Sus scrofa: one gene and its partner. The protein of the gene in region 1 interacts with the protein of each later gene in a pairwise test. Links are inferred from orthologs where the notes say so. Each region holds a gene or a part of one and is shown on either strand. Other genes may lie near its edges.

Region 1 (3,904 bases):
GGTCTCCCCTTGGCCAGTTTTGTACGTTCGCTATTTTGCTGCACTTGAAACTTTCCGGAGAAATGCTCTACTCGAGTCAGTGTTTTTCTAAAAACTTGCGCAAAAATCCACGCGACCGAGCTCGCCAGTACAGAGGCTCTCGGGCTCCCCACACTAATAAAGCTATTCCAAACAACGCTCTAGGAAAACCAAAATTAAAATTCGACGCACTCGTCCCAGCCTCTCCCCCCGCCCCATTCTTATTTCTCATCTCAGTTTCTCTTAACTTAGAGCAATCAAAAATCTATTTTTGTTTCTTAGGCACTCTGAATGAGCTCTAATGCATTTTTCCGGCGGTAGACCCGAGGTGGTAAAGGAGCGGGCCGAGGGATGCAGGGAGGGGGAAGGGCCGTGCTCACAGCGCCCGAGGAAGTTGCATAAGGAAAGAGACTCCGTTTTTTGGGTCCCCTCAAAAAAATCGGCGGGGAGGGGGAGGAAAAGGAAGCGGGGAGGGGGGGAGGTAGGAGGGAAACCGAAGCGACGTTTACCTTCGTCTCCCCGTGGAAGGGTGGGGTAAGAGCCGCGGTCTCCGCGACCCCGAAGGGCGGTTCCTTACCCCCACCTCTCTCCGAGCGCAGACGGACAAACAGATACCCCCACCCCTTCGCGGGGAAGGCGGGGAGGAAACTGCCCGGTTTTAAACTTTCTCTCACGGTCGCGCTAGGGCCGGGCTTTGACCAGAAGGGGTGGGGGAGACCGGAGGGCCCTTTTCTTTCAAGGTAATTAAAGTTTTACCACCAGCACAAAAGTTGCGCCCTCCCCCCGCCCGTGCCACCGTGCCCCCCTCCCCCGCGCCCAGGGCTCACAAGTTTTCCTCCCTCTCCACCCCCCACCAGCTCGCGGGGCGCGCGGCGGATGCCTCGGCTCCTGCGCTTCCCGATCCCCACCCCCGCCGGCCTCTACTTCCCCCCGCCCGGCCGCCGCGGCGCGAGGACGGCCCGCCGGGCCCAGGACGCTAGTGTGCAAAACCCATTATTCCGGAATGGCACACGCACGCGGCGCGAGGCGGGCGGCGGCCCCGCCTCGGACCCCTCTTTGCCTCCCCAGTATAAGGACGGCGTAAACAAGTTGCAGGAAAAGCAGCCCCGCGCCTTCACCACCTCCGCCCGCCGCCCCGGCGCGGCTGCCGCCGCCGCCGCCGCCGCCCGCCGCTACCGCCGCCGCGGCCGCCGCCTCCCGACACACGCCCGCGCCCGCACCCGGGCCGGCGCTGCGCGGCACGGCGCGGGGCGAACGCCGCGACGGCGCGGGCTCCCGGCCCGGCCCGCGGCCCGCGCCCTCCTCGGCGCGGACGGCCGCGGCGGGCCCGCGCCGCCTCGCTTCCCGAAGCACTTTCCTGCCTCGGGCAGAAATAAACCGGAGGGTTTATTTTTGTGCAACTTTCCCAAAATGGCGGAAATTGGAGCTGATCTATATGAAATTCTCACACAGTCGGTCGGGAAGGGGGAGGCGGCGAGGAAGAAAACGCAAACTCTCGGCCGCCGAGCCCGCCGCGGGTCCGTGAGTGTGTGCGTGCGTGTGAGTGTGCGTGTGCGCGGTGGGAGTCGGGGAGGCCTTTCCGCCGCGCACACACACACACAGCACACGCCGGGGAGACGCGCCTGCACATTCAACCAGTCCATTCTCCGCAGCCAGAGCGGGGAGAAAGTGGCCCGGCCTCTTTTCCCACTGCCTCGGTCTCCCGTACTTGTACTTCTCGCGCTCGCTCGCCCGCTCTCCGGTGCGCGCCCGGCACAAAGGCCACACGGGCGGAGGGGGCCGCAGGGGCGGCGCGCGGGGCTCGCGCCTCCCGCCGCACCGATCCGCGGCCCCGGCCGCCCCCGCGCTCCCCCCACCCCCGGCAGCGCCCCCCGCCTGGGCCGCCGCGCTCGCCGCCCGGGCTGCGGCTCCGCGGCGCCCACTCGGGCACGCACCCCGGCGGAGCCCGGCGCCGCCGCGCTCCCCCACCCCGCGCCCGGTGTCATGAAAGCGACCAAAGTGACAAGCTCGGGGGGCGCGGGGGAGGGGGCCCACACGCATCCCGCCGCCTGCGCGCGGGCGAGAGCCCGACGCGGCCGCCTCGCCCCGGCTCCCTTCCGCACGGCCCCCCACACCCTTCCCCGTGTGCGCGCAAAGGAAAAAATACAAGTCTCTCCTCCCCCCATTTTTTCCTTTCTCTTTTCTCTCTCTTTTGTTCCTCTTTCACACTCGCACTCACTACTTAAGAGTGAGATGCCCAGAGACTCCCCCTCCAGCCGTTTCCGAGTCACTTGCCCACTTTTTTCCCCGGGATTAAGTTTTCTCCTCTTTCCCAGAGGCGCAGAGAAGTGGGGGAGAAACCCCTTCTGTCCTTTCCCCTCCCCTGATCTGTTTCACAAGACGAGGGTGCGCTTCCTTCTCTCTATAGGTCTCTTAACTTTCATCCTCCCCCAGAAAAATAAATGAATGGCTTTTGCACGGACAAATCTTCATATTAATTAGAGATTAGATCCGATCAACCGCTTCTTACCCCCAAATTTTCTCTTTTTTTTTTCTCCGTCTCACGAGTAGTCCTGACAAATGGTCCAGGGCTGCGGGCGCAGTGCGCATGTGCGCGTAGAGTCAGGGCTGGGGAGAGGGGGAAACTGCGCTGGTGCCTGTGCCGCCGCCGCCGCCGCTGCCGGGGAGGCTCGCTCTGGCTTCCCTGTTAATGCTGCTGCGCCTTCGCCACTGGAAAGCAGCAATAAAGCCGGTTGGCAAATGCAGCAGCCCGCAGATACTGTTTCAGGTGCATCTTTTCAATATCCTTGTCACCGGCTCAGGGCTGGTTCAAGAACAATCAAAACAAATATGAAAGACTGCTAAGATTATAGATTTCTTTGTCTATTTTTCACTTTACTTTTTTAAAAAGGCATTTCTCTGAGCAGCTAATCCACCATGTACTGTTAAACGTCTGCTTTCAGCCATTCAAGAGTGGGCCACAGCCTTATACAAACACAACCCAAAAAGGCTAAACGCGTGCTACAGGTCATGAAAAATAAGAAATAAAGTTTTAAGCTTCTAGGCTATAGAACCTCCCCCCTCTTTGAGGACTGGAAGAATGCGTTATAAAGTGTGCATATAAAACTTGCGCGTGCCTTGCGTTTCCTAAGTGTTGGTCTTTATTGACAGCTTAAACATGTTAGGCCTCGGTTGTGAAATATGTTGGGATTCGTATGTCAACTTGGAAATCAGTGTTAAAGTCCCTTGACAATAAGCAGGTCGGCCGTGGACTACCCTCTGAACGTATTCAGTCAAGATGGCTGAGCAGTCCTAAACAGCAAAACCTGCTTTGTTAAGGCATCAAAACTAATCAAGCAAGAGTATTGTATTTCTGTATTGACAGCTTTCCACTTATTGACTGCAGGCTTCTTTTTTGGGCAGTTCACCATGCTCCTTTTCTACTAGATGCAAGTACTTAGAAAATAATTCAAGAAATTGAAGTTGTAATAAATATGTTTACCTTCATAACAGAGTTTGCGAGAAAAAAAAAAAGTAGCACTCATAATTTCAGAAATGGTGGAAGCAAGTCTTACATTTCACAGGAGTGGGGAGACAAAGTAAGGCCCCACTACTCAGAGTGGAGTATTTAGTTTGTATCTAATAAAGGGTAAAGGAGGCCCTTTTCCGAAATTGCTGCCTGAGGTCTAGAATTTAAATATATCACAGATGGAAATTCTGCTTTAAAAAATCCTTCCTCAAAATGTAAGTAATAATATTCTTGATTGAATTTTTTCACTTAAGGAATGTTCCTTGAACCAGTTTCAGAAAATAAACTGTTAAATTCTTTCCTTAGGACCATGAAATTACCCTAGAGAAGCAGACCACCCGACTATGTCGTGTGTTGGTACAGTGACCGAATTCTCCA
Region 2 (3,804 bases), on another chromosome or scaffold:
GGTCACAGACGCGGCTCGGATCCCAGCCAGTGGCTGCAGCTCCGATTCCACCCCTAGCCTGGGAACCTCCATATGCTTCGGCCCTAAAAAGACAACAAAACAAAACAGTGCATGAGGGTTCTAACCTCACCACATCCTTGCAAACACTTATTTCTTGGTTTTTGTGATAGCAGCCATCCTCATGGGCACAAGATTCCATCCTATACATTTTTATTCATGGATATGGTTCTTGAACACTTTTGTTTGTTTGTTTGTTTGTTTTGCCCTTTTTGTCTTTTTCTAGGGCTGCACCTGCAGCATGTGGAGGTTCCCAGGCTAGGGGTCCAATCGGAGCTGTAGCCGCCAGCCTACCCCACAGCCACAGCAATGCCAGATCCCAGCTGAGTCTGCAACCTACACCACAGCTCACAGCAACACTGGATCCCCAACCCACTGAGCGAGGCCAGGGATTGAACCCGCAACCTCATGGTTCCTAGTTGGATTCGTTAACCACTGAGCCACGACAGGAACACTGGTTCTTGAACACTTTCAAAATGCTGTGTCTTTTCTGCATGTGTGGTGTCACACAGACTGCTCGGCAGGCTGCCTTTTCTGCTCGGCCACTGGTGTCTCTTGTGGCTCCCTGTTGACCCACGTGGACTGGGCGCAGTGGTTGGAACCGCCGACAGTAGCCTGTTGTGTGAGTGCACCTGGTGGTTCTGCCCTTTCCCCTCTGCCAGGCACCTGTGTTGTCACTGCCACAGGTCCTGAGGTCCCCTCCCTTGGTGCATCTCCCTCCCCTGCTGCACTCGGAGCTCCTCCAACAGAGCCCTCATCCAGCCCATCCCAGGGCCCAGCACTCAGCCCAGGGGTCCTGGGGTGGCCTCTGGAATGTTGCCAGACTGTCCCCGGCAGGGACCGAGTAACCTATAGCCCGGGGCTGTCACTGATAATCAGCCAGGTTTGCAACACGCTGCCAAGATCAGCAGCCTAAAAATAGCAGTTCTTACATAAGATGATGTGGACAGCACTTCTCTGGAGGCCTTGTGGTCTGAAAGGAGCCAACTGGTACGTGACCTGGGGCCAAGCACCCCTGTTGTGTGAGGCATCCGGCCCCCACGCCGGCCCCGCCTTGGCTTCCCACAGGTGGCCTGACTTACAGAACTGCCGTGTGGTGACCCAGAAACACCACGTGTCTGATCAGTGGGGCCGGAGGTGTGCTGTGCGCGCCTGTACACTTGTGTGCACGTGGTGGCGGTGGCAGTTGGTGTTGGCTCATCTGCTTCCTCTTCAGAGACAGGAGGGGGTGGCCCCTTCCTCCCACGGTGGGCCGGCCAGAGCTCTGGTTCATTCATTCACTAGCCACTCCTGAAGCCCCTCCTGTGTGCTCAGCACCTACTATGTGCTCGGTTCTAGGCACTGGGGGGGACACAGCAAGTGAACAAGAAAAGGCTCCTGCTCTGATGGAGCTTAGACCTGAGCGAGGGAAATAGAAAACACGCCAGCAAATGATGGCTAGACAAGAAAATATCAGGTGCTTGATAAGTCCCATGAAGAAAAGCAAAAAAAAGGTAGCATCTTGGAGATGAGGTCAGAAAATTTCTTAGGTAAAGACAGTGCGTATTTTAGGCTCCACGACCATGTGGTCTCTATCACAGTCTCAGCTCTGTCACTGCAACAGAAAAGGAGCACAGACCATTGTTAAATGCTGTGACTACATTCCAATAAAATTTTGTTCATAAAACCAGGCTGTGAGCCAGATTTGACCCTCAGGCCGTGATTTGCCAGCAGCCCTGTCCTGGGTTGGGGGAAAGCTGCCTGAGCTGGGGTTGGCAGACAGCCTCTTTCTTTTTTTTTTTTTTTTAATTTTATTTTATATTGAACTAGGTCGATTGGCAGTGTTGTGTTAATTTCAGGTGTACAGCAAAGTGATTCGGTTATACATATATAGCCATTCCTTCTCAGGTTCTTTTCTCATATAGGTGATTACAGAATATTGAGTAGAGTTCCCTGTGATATACAGCAGGTCCTTGTTGATCCAGAGAGACCCATTCTGAATGGAAGATGCTGTTACAGGCAAAATGTGGTGGCGCCTTGCTGTCAGTTCATGGGTGGAGCGGTGTGATTGGAAGTGGGAAGACTGGGGCTACGTGTGAGCAGTACAAATGATGGCGCTTGCTCCAGGGTTGAATGTTGGGGGTACAGGGAAGAGGTTCAAGGGTGAGTCCTAGATTTGGGGCTTCAACAACTAGGTGCATGGGGCTTCCTTTCTGGAAAAGAAGAGGCGCTGGAGGGAAAATCCACATTTGTGTGGGGTATGTGGAGTTTGAGGACCCTCCTGGATCAACAGGTGAGCAATCACAGGGGCAGCTCAGTGGAGAAGCTGGGACTGCAGGCGTGACCTGGGGAGCTGGCAGTGTTTGGGTGATCTTCAAAACTATGAGTCGGGTGAGTCACAGGGAGTGGGTGTGGACAGAGCACAGCAGGCCCAGGTGAGAACTGGGGCTGCCACCCTGAGCACTTGGCAGAGGAGGAAAGCGGCCTCATGCTCCTTGGGGGAAGGCACTGTGCAGCATGGTCTCCAGGGGTGCAAGCCCTGGGCTGCTCATTTACTAAAAAAGCCTCAGTTTCCCTCCTGTCATGGAGGGGAAAGGGGTTCTATCTCTTAGGGTTGGATTGGGGAATGTCTTTTTTTTTTTTTTTTTTTTTTTAGGGCCACACTTGCGGCATATGGAAGTTCCCAGACTAGGGGTCGAATTGGCGCTGTAGCTACTGGCCTACACCACAGCCACAGCAATGCCAGATCTGAGCCTCGTCTGCAATCTACATCACAGCTCACAGCAACACTGGATCCTTAACCCACTGAGCAAGGCCAGAGATCGAACCCGCAACCTCATGGTTCCTAAGCGGATTCGTTTCCGCTGCGCCATGATGGGAACTCCTGGACTGGGGAATGAATGAGATAGTCATTGGCTTGGAGGAAGCCCTCAGCAATGGTACCTGTGATGGTGGTGGTGACCCTTGGGCCCACGGGCTGAGTGAGTGGTTGCAGGGTCTCTAACGCTTTGTCTTGGTTAACAGGGGACTCAATGACAGGTTGGGGTGGCAGACACCCTGCCACCTGGCGCTCGCCATCCCCCTGGGGCAGGCCCAAAGTGCTAGTAGTTAGTGCTCCTGGGAGCCCCTGATGAGAGTCCAGGCTCAGTATCCTTGCCCCTTGGGTGGATGCTGTTGAGGCTTGTTCTACTCTGTCTTCCAATGCTCCCCAGCTCAGTGACACATCTACACCTGCCTTCCCATCCCTGGCTGGCTTTCACCACCTGCTCCTAACAGGACGGGGACATCCCTTTTTACCTCCTAGTAACTCCCTTGTCTAAGGGTCAGCTTCTGGGCAGCGAGTTTCCTTGGTTGCGTGGCCGCCTGGGCCTGCTGGGTCACAGTGGGGTAATAAGTGGGCTGTTTGGTGGATGGGTTATGAGCTGGGGGGTGGCAGGTGGCCTTGACCTCTGGCTATGCCTGGGCAAGCTGATGCCTGCTCTGCTGCTCCTCCCACAGCCGAGTGCCCGAAGATGGTTGACTACCTGGCAAACACCGAGATCAACAGCCAGCGCATCGCAGCGGTTGAGAGCTGCTTCGGGGCATCAGGGCAGCCGCTGGCCCTGCCGGGCCGGGTGCTGCTGGGCGAGGGCGTGCTGACCAAGGAGTGCCGAAAGAAGGCCAAACCGCGCATCTTCTTCCTCTTCAACGACATCCTGGTGTACGGCAGCATCGTGCTCAACAAGCGCAAGTACCGCAGCCAGCACATCATTCCGCTGGAGGAGGTGA

The links.
Region 2: the proteins of L3MBTL3 (region 1) and PLEKHF1 interact in binary tests that used the Homo sapiens proteins (3 or more experiments, as listed by UniProt). The two-hybrid records come from large-scale screens. The link is inferred for Sus scrofa from reciprocal best matches to the Homo sapiens genes L3MBTL3 and PLEKHF1.

Annotation. Positions count from the first base shown.
Region 1 is NC_010443.5:33,316,789-33,320,692, forward strand, and holds the start of L3MBTL3 (lethal(3)malignant brain tumor-like protein 3), read right to left. Parts: upstream 2,690-3,904; 5' UTR 2,528-2,689; intron 2,259-2,527; exon of another isoform or gene 2,237-2,258; intron 1,844-2,236; exon of another isoform or gene 1,727-1,843; intron 1,681-1,726; exon of another isoform or gene 1,467-1,680; intron 1,160-1,466; exon of another isoform or gene 1,140-1,159; intron 779-1,139; exon of another isoform or gene 528-778; intron 1-527. UniProt on the Homo sapiens protein: Is a negative regulator of Notch target genes expression, required for RBPJ-mediated transcriptional repression. It recruits KDM1A to Notch-responsive elements and promotes KDM1A-mediated H3K4me demethylation.
Region 2 is NC_010448.4:39,792,450-39,796,253, forward strand, and holds part of PLEKHF1 (pleckstrin homology domain-containing family F member 1), read left to right. Parts: intron 1-3,534; 5' UTR 3,535-3,548; coding exon 3,549-3,804. UniProt on the Homo sapiens protein: May induce apoptosis through the lysosomal-mitochondrial pathway. Translocates to the lysosome initiating the permeabilization of lysosomal membrane (LMP) and resulting in the release of CTSD and CTSL to the cytoplasm.